3 linked regions of the Xenopus tropicalis genome follow. The protein of the gene in region 1 interacts with the protein of each later gene in a pairwise test. Links are inferred from orthologs where the notes say so. Each region holds a gene or a part of one and is shown on either strand. Other genes may lie near its edges. The genes, in order: cryab, crybb2 and lbh.

Region 1 (4,324 bases):
GAATTGGCTATACAGGGAGAAAGTGGTACAGGTTTGTATTGGGTGGTAAGTGTTAACAGTGGCTGGACTGGGGCAAATAGTGGACATGGTTTTACTGGGGAAACATATCTGAGATGGCTATATTGGGTAAATCGCAGAGGTGATTGGAGGTAAATAGAAATAAGAAGAAATTGCAGAAGTGATTATATGTAGGGTTAATGATAAAGCTGGTAGATCTAGCTGTAATGAGAGAAAGTTGGTTATATTATGTGAAATTAAAACAGATGGGTGTATAGGGGGAAAAGGCAGGGATGGCTGTACAGGAAAGAAATGGCACGGGTGTGTATACTGGGGGAAATATCAGAGATGACCATATTGTGGGAAAAAAATAAAATACGTGTGCTACAAAAATGTGATATATAAGGAAGTAATGGTAAATACTGATGTACTCTGGAAATTTGCAGAGCTGTCTGTAGTGGATAAAATAGCAGAGACTTGCAAATGACATGAAAAACTGAATCTGGAGAAAATGGAAACAGATAGAGCTAACCCCGCATCCTCATTTTTAACAGCTACAGTATTTTACTGAAATAAATAATAGTGGTTTAATCATTTAAAAATAAGGGATACTTTGTTAGCCATTAGATTAGCCTTAAGCCGTACCGCAACCTCACCTTTTATGTAAAGAACCTTTATCCCCCACCTTTTACTCTATAACTTTTCAAGTGGGTAACAAGATCCAAACACACTGTTTATTGTTCATTTTTAAAGCATATTTTTTCAAATAAAATTTCAAAAACATTATCTAAAAGCTGTATCTGTGGTTCTAAGTAGAACTGTGGGTGCTTAGGGAAGCTTACTTTTTTATAAGCAAAATATGATTCAGCTTTAGTTTGGTGTTTGAACAAACCAAAGAAAATTGGTGCATGCAAACTATTTGTACTTTTACTTAATGTGGTTACAGTATCAACATTTGGGAGCATCACATTTCCAAACTGAATTAGATGTAAACTTTGCAGGCGACTGGGTGTGTGTTGCTAACAGCCGTAGGTTATAACTGAAGGCACTACAGTGACTGCAATCACATTCACATCATTAATCAAAAGTCAAGCTATAACGGCCAGGAGTTTAGCTTTTAATATTGCTGTTTTAGAGCTATATTTATGAAAGTTTATAAAAAGCATATTTTTGTTTTAAAAAGTATTATTTCACTTTTGGCTTTTATTAGAAAATGTCTGATTTTTTTCCACCACTTTTTGTGAGCTGGGTGTTCCCCACTTTTTACCCTATCAGGAAATGTTAACTAAGATTTAAAGTAACTTCCATATTTGACACCAAAGGCCAGGAAGGGTGCTACAAATAGCAGGACACAGGGTCCCTGGTAAAAGGGGCTTAGTGGTGGTCATTTTATGGGCTCTTTAGGCCTCAGGTGCTTGATGGAACTCAAGGAACTCAAAACCTTCCCAGAAAGTATTAGGAGGGCTGATATTTGGTGACTTGTGGTATCAGCAAACATGTCTCAGCCCAGGAACAAAGCTGCTCTTAATCTACCACTGGGGGAAGTTTTATTTGAGTGCAGCAGAACCTTAACTACACAGAGCTGCTGCATACAGCAACACTCACAGCAATTCTAGACACTGTTAGAAACTCCATATCAACACTATTTACAGAGTTTAGTGCTTTAAAAAATGTTTTCCTATCCACCACTTTTCTTCTGTAAGAGTACAGTGTATAATTAGATAAGATGTTTCAAATGGCACAGGAATATAATCTGACCACAGAATAAATGAATATAACTGTTCTATAGTCTTTTTCTTTTCCAATATGTTTGTTTTAATTACCTAGTGCTCTGTTTAAGACATTTGTTTGAGCCAATATTATCTTAATATTCAATTGGAAATATTTGTCAAATGGTGTTACTATAATTGGTGGTAAAATGATTACTTTAACATATTACTAGCCACTCTACACACCTTTACTCTTTAAAGAAACTCAGTTAATTACATTGATTTGTTGCATTTACATTGATTAATCAGCATCCTTTGTAAATGTATCTATTTGTACTGTGAATGTAGAAAAACACAAACTTTGGATGAATATTTCCATTGAATTTACTTGCCCTTTTCCTTATAAGCATTATAAGATCTGACTGGGCAATGCAAAAAAGTTAATTGTACTCTTAAACCTCCCAGGCCTCCCTCTAGGCTCAGCATTTTGCAGGTTTAAAAAGAAAACTACCTCAGACAGTCCGCTGTCTATCCAGTTTGGAAGCCTGGAGAAGGGGTATCTGAAGAAGAAGGGTGATACACTGGAAGTTGGGAAAAGTTCAGCCTCGTGAAGGTGTTCCCCAAAATTCTGATCAAAGATCCTATTTGGTCCAAAGAATGAGTAAAAGTGACGACGGAACCAAGGATGCTGGATGGCTACATCCATTTTCTTGCTGCTTGTGGCTACTATGAAAGAAAAAGCTCAAGGTCTGAGTTAGCCAATGGACCTAGAGCTCTTATATATAATGGACTGCCAGTCAGCTCCACCCTTGCACCCAAACATTGAACCTTCTGGAAAATTGATGTCAGGTGATTTCATTATTCAACCATGCTCGTCTGCCCCCATTCAGCAGAGTGCTGTTGGATATGTGCCATGACAAATTCTCTATTCACTCTCCAGCCCACTGGATCAGCAAGAAGAGATGCTGATTATCGTTCTGTTTACTTTCCGACTTCTGTGCTTTTTGGCTCAACAGATCTATTCAGCCACTCTCCTGTAACTTGACAAGGATGATTTCATGCCCAGATCTGACAGCTGATAGTGTAATTGATTTAATCCGTAATACTCTAGAAACATCCAACCCTTTTCCAGCTTCCTACAGGGTGCGTATAGACTAGAACAACTTCATTCTTGTAATATGTAGCATTACTGGCAGAGGGGGAGTTAAATGCCTACATGGGTGTGATCATTGCTGACAAAGAAGCTAAATATACACGCAGTGTGCAATTATTATTTTATTATAATGTTATTCATATCTTTCTAGGTTAGTCATCAGGTTAAACAATTAACATGTTAAATATGTTTATGTTGTAAATCAAAACTTTTCATCACAGAGTTTGTGACACCAACTTCTGATCAGCAAATAATGTAGAAAGCTAAAAGGTCCAGTCCAAGAAACCTTCATTTTCCTCTATACTGCCATACTTTACTGCCATTACCTTTTACTATGATAAATCACTCAGTGGCTAAAGTTGATCACATATCGACAAACTTCCAGAACATCATAGATTAACCAGGCATTTGCTCTATTTGGTCGCACTTGTGGATGGCTAAATTGCATTGATCTAACTAATGGATCTGCGGGTAAGATTGTTAAACAGAAATGTGGGTTCATGTAGTTCTGGCACAGCAGGTGTCACCATTTTAGGGTATAACTGGCCACACACTGATCAGCAGGGAAATGTCACAGACTGACAATGACAAGTTTTTTTGTTTTTTTTTTAACATTTTCTTTATTGCATTTTTCAAAAATTTTGCATAGAGCAAACAAAGAGAAGGAAAGAATGAGGAAATAAGAGAAGAAGAATAGTGTAGATAGGGGGGAAAGGGGGGGGGGTGTTTTTGGGCTTCCTTACTTATCAAGTGCATTACTGACTTTGTCTTACATTTGTCCCATGGCCTTTTATTATGTTCTTAATAAAGAAGCTATTAATTAAAACTGCTGGTCCAGTGTCCGTTAATTGTGTCCATTTGTTATGTCCATGCCCCTGTTTTGGGTCCATGCTGATGTACCCTTTTATTATATCCAGTTTGTGGTGGCATTCAGGGTTGATGTATGTCTTTCAGCCAATTGTCCCATATCTTGTTAAATTTGTCTGGGCATCTCCTAGCCAGATATGTTAGCTTTTGACTGGGAAGGGTGTCGTTAATTTAAAGTTGCCTTCCAGGTCATTAAGATTGCTTTTTTGGCGAAATGTAGAATTTGGAGGAGGCATAGTTCATCGTATTTGTTAAGTGATAGTCCTTCCATGTGTCCAAGTAGGCATAAAGTTGGAGAACAGATATTTGGGACTGTGGCGCTGCAAGTCAGTACCTCTGACCAAAATCATTGGATTTCAGTGCAGTCCCAAAAAATATGCATGTAATTACCTTGCTCAATGTTGCATTTGGGGCATACATACGGATAACCCGGGTAAATTTGGCCCAGCGTGTGAGGTGTCAGGTATACTCGGTTAAGGAACTTAGTATGTATGAGTTCAGGGCGCCTCTGGTAGTGATGTTACCATTAAATCAGGGCCATTACCCAGGAATTGAGTGTTAATGGCATGCCATAGTTGGAGAAACCTAAACAGCATAC
Region 2 (3,652 bases), on another chromosome or scaffold:
ATTTCCTTAGCAACTCTTTACTGCATGCCTGTATACCAGACCCTGCAGTAAGAGATAGTGTTTACACTAACATTTGTGCAACTTCCACCTGTATAATGGGTGGAACCCCAACCATGCAATAAAGAGCATATGGCACACTATCTCTTCCTTAGCATGAGTGGCTGATACACATTGCAAATTTAGAAACCAAAACAGCTGTTCTATCAGTTCTAGCACTTAGGGGCAGATTTATGGAAGTGTGGGATTAGAGCTCACTACAGAATAAGTCACCCACTTTCTATTCATTCCTATTGAGACAAAAACATATTTCTGGCTTAGAGTTTTTGTGATCCACACCTGTGAGTTTCAGGTCTCACCTCTCTTTAAGTTACAATGTGCCATTGTGATTGGTTTAGTGAAAGAGTATGTACATATGCTGAGGACTTCCCATACCAGTCAGCTGAACTGAAGAAGCTCCTCAGATAAGTAGTAAAACATCTTCAATGATTACTCAGCAAGTCCAGTTGCCAATTTCCACACTTTGTTTACTAAAAAATAATTTAAACAGTAAATAAACCCAATAGGATTGTTTTCCGCCAATAAGGATTAATTATATCTTATATCAAGTACAAGGTACTGTTTTATTACTACAGAGAAAAAGGAAATCAGTTTTAAGAATCAGAATTATTTCTTTAAAATAGAGTCTATGGGAGATGGCCTTTCCGTAATTCAGAACTTTCTGGATAGCGGCTTTCTGGATAAGGGATCCTATACCTGTCTTATATAACAAAAAGTTAAATAACTAACAAACTACAAATAATAAAAATGAAGAAAAATTGCAAATTGTCTCAGAATATTACTCTGTACATCATACTAAAAGTTAAGGATGCACCGAATCCAGGATTGGGTTCGGGGTTTGGCCAAGATTCTGCCTTTTGGCCGAATCCACGCTCCTGGCCGAACTGAATCCGAATCCTAAAAATCATATGAATTTTTCTCATATAAACACGGAAGTTAAAAATGTAACCCTTACATTACCTAATTAGTATATGCTAATTATATTATATGCTAATTAGGATTCGGTTCGGTATTCTTCAGCTAAATCTTTTCCGAAGGAGTTGGTGCATCTCTACTAAAAGTTAACTCAAAGGTGAACAACCCCTTTAAATGCTGAAGAAAATGGGCTTATTTTTCAACCTAAATTCTCAAAACCCCTCATCACTTTAAAATGAACGTGAAAGTTGTTACAGAGCAATGACACCTACAGGCCTTTTTAATTTTATGCCACATTAGTCTGAACAACACTATGCTTTTGTTTAATGGGAACCAAATGTTTCTCCTTTCCACAGCTGGGTAGGATATGATCAACAGAACTGCAAAGGAGAGCAGTTTGTCTTTGAGAAGGGAGAATACCCACGCTGGGACTCCTGGACCAACAACAGAAGGACTGACAGCATCTCTTCCATGAGACCAATCAAAAATGTAAGTGCTTAGATACTTCACAATGAACTTACTTGCCTTTAGTGTCCCCCATACTGTAACAATGTGCATTAAAAAAAAACGATGTTGCAAGCCTCTGAAGAAATCACTTTAATTCCTAAAGAAAAGCTAATATACAAATGGCAAAAGCAGCACATTTCTCATAAGGATGGCATACTGTTATGAGAACTAAACCCTAAAAACAAATATGGCTGTATGCCGTATTTTATATCCTGAACTTACTTCACCAGCCTAAAGGTTAAGCATCTCTATAACAGCAGAACATGAGGTTGGTCTGTCATAGAAGCTGATTCTACAGGGATGATTATTCAATTCAGATACATTACATATGAATTGCATTTGCATTAGAGAGCTGCTATTTAATGAGAATCTGAATTAATTACTACTCTGCCTTGTATTGTGACATTTATATTCTATATACACAGTATATTGTTTGTCCCTAAGCTCAGTAACTGACAGCAGCACAGAGCATGTTTGAAGAATCAGCAGAAAAGAAGATGGGGGGCTTCTGGGGCATCGTTGGAGACACAGATCTTCCCTGCTAAAGGGCTGTGGTTGCCTTGGGCTGGTACAGAAGCCCAAAATTTAATATGCAGCATGTCTACCTTACTTCTTTGTTAATTTTTAGCTCTCCTAAATATTATATTGCTCAACATGAGTGCAATGAATAGGGCTTGTTCTGAACATACATTATAGCTATTGTTTTAATTATGAAAAATGTGTTTTTGTTATTTAAATAAGTAATAAGTAATGAATTATTTAAGTTTTTAGAATTGTGCATAATATTTTAACCAAGTAATAACAGTCAAGGTTAATTATGGTTTTATTTAATGACTAATTTTGGAAAATATTTGAAACATTTTTTTTTAGGACAGCCAAGAGCACAAGATTGTCCTCTATGAAAACCCAAATTTTAGTGGGAAGAAAATTGAGATAATTGATGATGATGTGCCTAGTTTCCATGCTCATGGTTATCAAGAGAAAGTGTCTTCTGTTCGAGTACTAAGTGGAACGTGAGTATAGGTGAAATATGAGTATAGGTGAAATGTGTTCAGTCCCCACATGCCAAAAAGTTTCCCCAAGACACTGTGGGATTTGGCAGAGACAGTAATAAACAGAATGCATCTGTCCCTACTTGTGTACATGTGATTTCTCCAAAGTTTGCTGTTAAGCACCGGAAAGCCCTGCATGCACTGGTTAAGTCAACTAGAGAAGTTTGATCTTCCTTGCAGACTGACCAATCCATGTGTATCCAATCTATGAGCTGTGGAGAGAACAAATAAGGGAACAGGCAAAAAGCACAAATGACTAGCAATGACTGGTGCATTCAGTGCGGTAGTTTCACTTGTGCTTTTTTGCTTTAAAAGAAATTCAGGGAGTTATAATGTGTTTTTTTTTCATTATAGGTGGGTTGGCTATCAATACCCAGGTTACAGAGGTTACCAGTACCTGTTTGAGAAGGGGGACTACAAGGACAATTCTGATTTTGGTGCCAAGCACCCCCATATCCAGTCTGTGAGGCGCATACGTGATATGCAGTGGCACCAGAGAGGAGCCTTCCACCCTACCAATTAAGGGTGATGCCACTTAAAAGTGCGGGGAGGTACAGAGAGGCTTACATGCAATCTACTGCTGTTTTTCCTTTGGCATGCCTCTCTCAGATGCCACTGTGTGACTAATGCTGCTGAATCAATTTAATAAAAAGCTTTGACTTTCAGACTCACAGATTCACTTTTTGTGTCAGTTATTATGAGAAGTCACACTGGAAGGCAATATTGTCAATCTCCAAATACCTAAATACATATAATAATGAAAAAAAAATCCACAACATTCACTGTTAAAGTGTTCCTTATGTCTTACAAATGCCTCATCTTGAGACTAAAATATTGGCATGAATATACATTTACTTTCAAGGTTCCAGTTCCTCACCAACCATTGGTGCTCCAGCTGTTTCAGAATTATAGGTTGGGGAAAGCACCACTGGTATTTGTAGAATTTGTAGCCCCACAACTGCTAGAGAACATCATACTGACTAGGTAACTGTGATTCCCAGTCCTATACCCACAGCCTACTGGAGGACAATGTGGTTGCAGTAAAGGCTTATGAGGACGGCAGATCAACTAAAAAGTAATGATCCATGAGGCTTAAGGGGCACTATACACTGAGAGAAATG
Region 3 (4,136 bases), on another chromosome or scaffold:
ATCCCATTCCCATCAGTCCCTGCCCCAGTGAGCTTACAATCTAAGGTCCCTATCCCATTCCCATCAGCCCCTGCCCCAGTGAGCTTACAATCTAAGGTCCCTATCCCATTCCCATCAGTCCCTGCCCCAGTGAGCTTACAATCTAAGATCCGTACCATATTCCCACACACTAAGGTGTTTGCCCTTACTGGCACTCTATGGGTTAACTATTCCTCCGACTGATACAGATAAGGAATGAGTATAAGGCTGATTTTACTCAGGGGAACGATTTAAAACAAGAGCGAATGTTGCATTTGCGCAGGAACACTCAGCAACCAATCAGGCGCCAGGATTGACCCAAGTAACGCAATTACGCTAATGAATAGAAATTTCCAATGGGCTGTTAGAGATTTCTGCAAAGTTGCCCCTATACTTATCAATCATACCCCCCCAATGCACAACGTGACCCCGTAATTACATAGGGACCATTTGATAGATAAGAGAAAGCTTCTGTGCCAAAGAGCTGACACTCTAAGTCTGAGCGAATGAGGCACAGGGAGATAACGCAGCGCCCCCCCAAGGTCACGGGCAGAGGACACAGCAGCCAAAGCCAATTCCTGCATTGGACTCTGTACCCCCAGGATTGAGTTGGAAACAGGGGCCCCCCTGGCCATGCAGAGAGGTTGGGGGGGGTGGGGATTTACATAAATCAATGACGTCATGATAAAAAAAACAGTTGTTTCATATATACGGGGGGGGGGGGATTGTGCTGTTAACCCCTTCCCTGCCACATCCCATTGCATTCACTCACACCCCCTCATCAAATTCCAAGGCTTTGGATAAATCCGCCAGTCTCCGGAACATTCTACTCAAAACCAACCCCCCCCCCCTGTTGAAAAAGTCTTATTTCAGATTTACCATGAATGAAGGTGCTATTCAGGGGTGCTGCCCCCCCCCAGGCACCCCTGAATAATCTACTCCCCCCCCCAGCCAGACCAAGTGAGGGAATGTGGAGAGGCAATAAGGGAGACAAAGGGCAAGTGTGGGGCTTAAACCTGCACAGAACAAAGAGACAGGCTGAATGGGGGGGGGGGGGGAGAATGCAGGTGATTGCAATCCCCGGCCTCTGATTGGCTGGGAGGGATGAGTGAGCATGAATGTTCAGCGCCTACAAACCCAGCACATTGTATCCAGGGGATGAGCAGCCAACATACACCCATTCATGTTTCTACTGACGTCAAACGGGCTGGGCGTGGTGCCAGCTGGCCCCGCCCCCTATGTTATATAAGGCAGTGCGGCGGCAGCGGCAGGGTCAGAGCGCTCCGGAGCGGCGGGAGAGGGACTGTCTGTGCCAATAGCCAATCAGGACTGTGTTGTGTTCTGCGAGTGGTTCCGATTAGCCTATTGGGATCCATTTAATCCGAGCAGTTTGGCAGCTCCTCTGGGCTTAATGTCTGTATTTTACCCCATTCACTGGTGAGTACTGGGAGTTACTGGGGGGGGACTGGGAGATACTGGGAGTTACTGGGGGGGGGACTGTGAGTTACTGGGGGGGGGGGGACTGTGAGTTACTGGGGGGGGACTGTGAGTTACTGGGGGGGGGGGGACTGTGAGTTACTGGGGGGGGGGGACTGTGAGTTACTGGGGGGACTGGATCGGGAGGGGGGAATAAGCTCCCAGTTGGAACCTCTCCCCTGAGATTCTTGTACTGGGGCTAATCTGGCGCTGCTGCCCCCTGGCGGAGGGGGCTTTTAATGTTGAAGGATTTCCCGGACCCTTCTGCAGCTACTGGTGGTCGCATATACTATATTAGTTGCAGCCAGTCGCAGTGGTAGATGGTAGATGCCAGGGGGTCACTTCTTGCTGTAGATCCTGGAGATGGGGGTATGGGGTGAGTGATAACTCTGGGCACTCTGGTTGGTGTCTGGTCTCCTGGGGTATTAAGGCTTTCAACAACCCCCCCCTCCACCCCCAAGTGACCAGAGTTGCCCCAAGATGACAGTATTTGTGCTACTGGGCTTTAGGTGCCTGTGAGGGGGGCATACTGGGCTTTAGGTGCCTGTGAGGGGGGCATACTGGGCTTTAGGTGCCTGTGAGGGGGGCATACTGGGCTTTAGGTGCCTGTGAGGGGGGCATACTGGGCTTTAGGTGCCTGTGAGGGGGGCATACTGGGCTTTAGGTGCCTGTGAGGGGGGCATACTGGGCTTTAGGTGCCTGTGAGGGGGGCATACTGGGCTTTAGGTGCCTGTGAGGGGGGCATACTGGGCTTTAGGTGCCTGTGAGGGGGGCATACTGGGCTTTAGGTGCCTGTGAGGGGGGCATACTGGGCTTTAGGTGCCTGTGAGGGGGGCATACTGGGCTTTAGGTGCCTGTGAGGGCGGCATACTGGGCTTTAGGTGCCTGTGAGGGCGGCATACTGGGCTTTAGGTGCCTGTGAGGGGGGCATACTGGGCTTTAGGTGCCTGTGAGGGGGGCATACTGGGCTTTAGGTGCCTGTGAGGGGGGCGTACTGGGCTTTAGGTGCCTGTGAGGGGGGCATACTGGGCTTATCCATGGGCAGCCTGGCATCTTATAACTAAAAACACTCGACTGGGAGTTTTAATTCTGCCCTTGGAGCTTCTCCAACTTTTTGCTCTTGTACTACAGCTCCCAGCATGCCCTGACAGACTTATACCCTCCCTTCTCTGCCGCTGGAACCCCATCCGACTCTCCCTTTGTTACCCTACAGGCTCTGTGGATATAATTAAAGGGACCAGGCTGTTATATTATACCCGGTCTCTCTATTCCTGGCTGCGGACTGGTTTCCCGTACCCAAGAGCTTACTGTTGTGCTGTCCCCTTGGCAACACCACCTGTAGGTGCGAGCCGCACATTTTCCATGACAGCATTGTGCATGACTTTGCAGCGCTCGTTATGTATTAAAGAGGCGGCCATTCATTGGGCGAAATCATTCACAAGCCGACAGTGAGGCGAGTCTCCGCCCGTAGCCTTCATTCACAAAATCAACCCCCCCCCCCAAGCGGCAGTTAAAAAAAACAAAAAAAACCACCCAAACTGTAGATATTGGGGTGTAAGCGAAGGGTCTCGGAGCTGTGGGGCTCATTTTGGTCTGTAGAACTTGCTGCTTCTATTGTCTGAATCCCTGTGGGGGCTTTATAGTCGCTCCTTGCCCAGCTCTATTGCCCCCTGCTTATTGGTTAATAAGGCGCCCGGGGTAATTAATGAGGAATTAAGTCTGATTCTTGCTTAGTAGATCGGATTTATCAGTTTGACCTTGTGGCTAAATCCAAATGAATTGCAGCAGCGTCTCTAAGACGGTTGCAGGTATTTGTATTGCTATATAAATCCTCTGTGCCTTTAAATCTTTCCAGGTGGGGACTGGCATAGGGAAGCTAAAGATGCTCAAGCTGTTGTTGAACTACAGCACCGAATGTTGAAGGGAGCTAGGGGGTGTCATTCGGAAACAGCCGCAGGTTGACTTTTAGGGTGAAGACACACGTAGCTACTACAGGTATAGGACCCATTATCCAGAATGCTCGGGACCAAGGCTATTCCGGATAAGGGGTCTTTCCGTAATTTTGGATCCCCATACCTTAAGTCTACTAAAAATCAATAAAACATTAATTAAACCCAATAGGATTGTTTTGCCCCCAATAAGGATTAATTATATCTTAGTTGGGATCAAGTACAGGTACTGTTTTATTATTACAGAGAAAAGGGAATCATTAAACCATTAAATAAACCCAATAGGGCTGTTCTGCCCCCAATAAGGGGTAATTATATCTTAGTTGGGATCAAGTACAGGTACTGTTTTATTATTACAGAGAAAAGGGAATCATTTAACCATTAAATAAACCCAATAGGGCTGTTCTGCCCCAATAAGGGGTAATTATATCTTAGTTGGGATCAAGTACAGGTACTGTTTTATTATTACAGAGAAAAGGGAATCATTTAACCATTAAATAAACCCAATAGGGCTGTTCTGCCCCCAATAAGGGGTAATTATATCTTAGTTGGGATCAAGTACAGGTACTGTTTTATTATTACAGAGAAAAGGGAATCATTTAACCATTAAATAAACCCAATAGGGCTGTTCTGCCCCCAATAAGGGGTAATTATATCTTAGTTGGGATCAAGTACAGGTACTGTTTTATTATT

Evidence for each region.
Region 2: the proteins of cryab (region 1) and crybb2 interact in a two-hybrid assay, tested with the Homo sapiens proteins (2 studies listed by BioGRID and IntAct). The link is inferred for Xenopus tropicalis from reciprocal best matches to the Homo sapiens genes CRYAB and CRYBB2.
Region 3: the proteins of cryab (region 1) and lbh interact in a two-hybrid assay, tested with the Homo sapiens proteins (2 studies listed by BioGRID, with this or other methods). The link is inferred for Xenopus tropicalis from reciprocal best matches to the Homo sapiens genes CRYAB and LBH.

The regions. Positions count from the first base shown.
Region 1 is NC_030683.2:84,501,349-84,505,672, forward strand, and holds the start of cryab (alpha-crystallin B chain), read right to left. Parts: upstream 2,808-4,324; 5' UTR 2,413-2,807; coding exon 2,218-2,412; intron 1-2,217. UniProt on the Homo sapiens protein: May contribute to the transparency and refractive index of the lens. Has chaperone-like activity, preventing aggregation of various proteins under a wide range of stress conditions.
Region 2 is NC_030677.2:147,786,556-147,790,207, forward strand, and holds the end of crybb2 (beta-crystallin B2), read left to right. Parts: intron 1-1,328; coding exon 1,329-1,461; intron 1,462-2,349; coding exon 2,350-2,492; intron 2,493-2,885; coding exon 2,886-3,054; 3' UTR 3,055-3,202; downstream 3,203-3,652. UniProt on the Homo sapiens protein: Crystallins are the dominant structural components of the vertebrate eye lens.
Region 3 is NC_030681.2:6,602,516-6,606,651, forward strand, and holds the start of lbh (protein LBH), read left to right. Parts: upstream 1-1,323; 5' UTR 1,324-1,429; coding exon 1,430-1,455; intron 1,456-4,136. UniProt on the Homo sapiens protein: Transcriptional activator which may act in mitogen-activated protein kinase signaling pathway.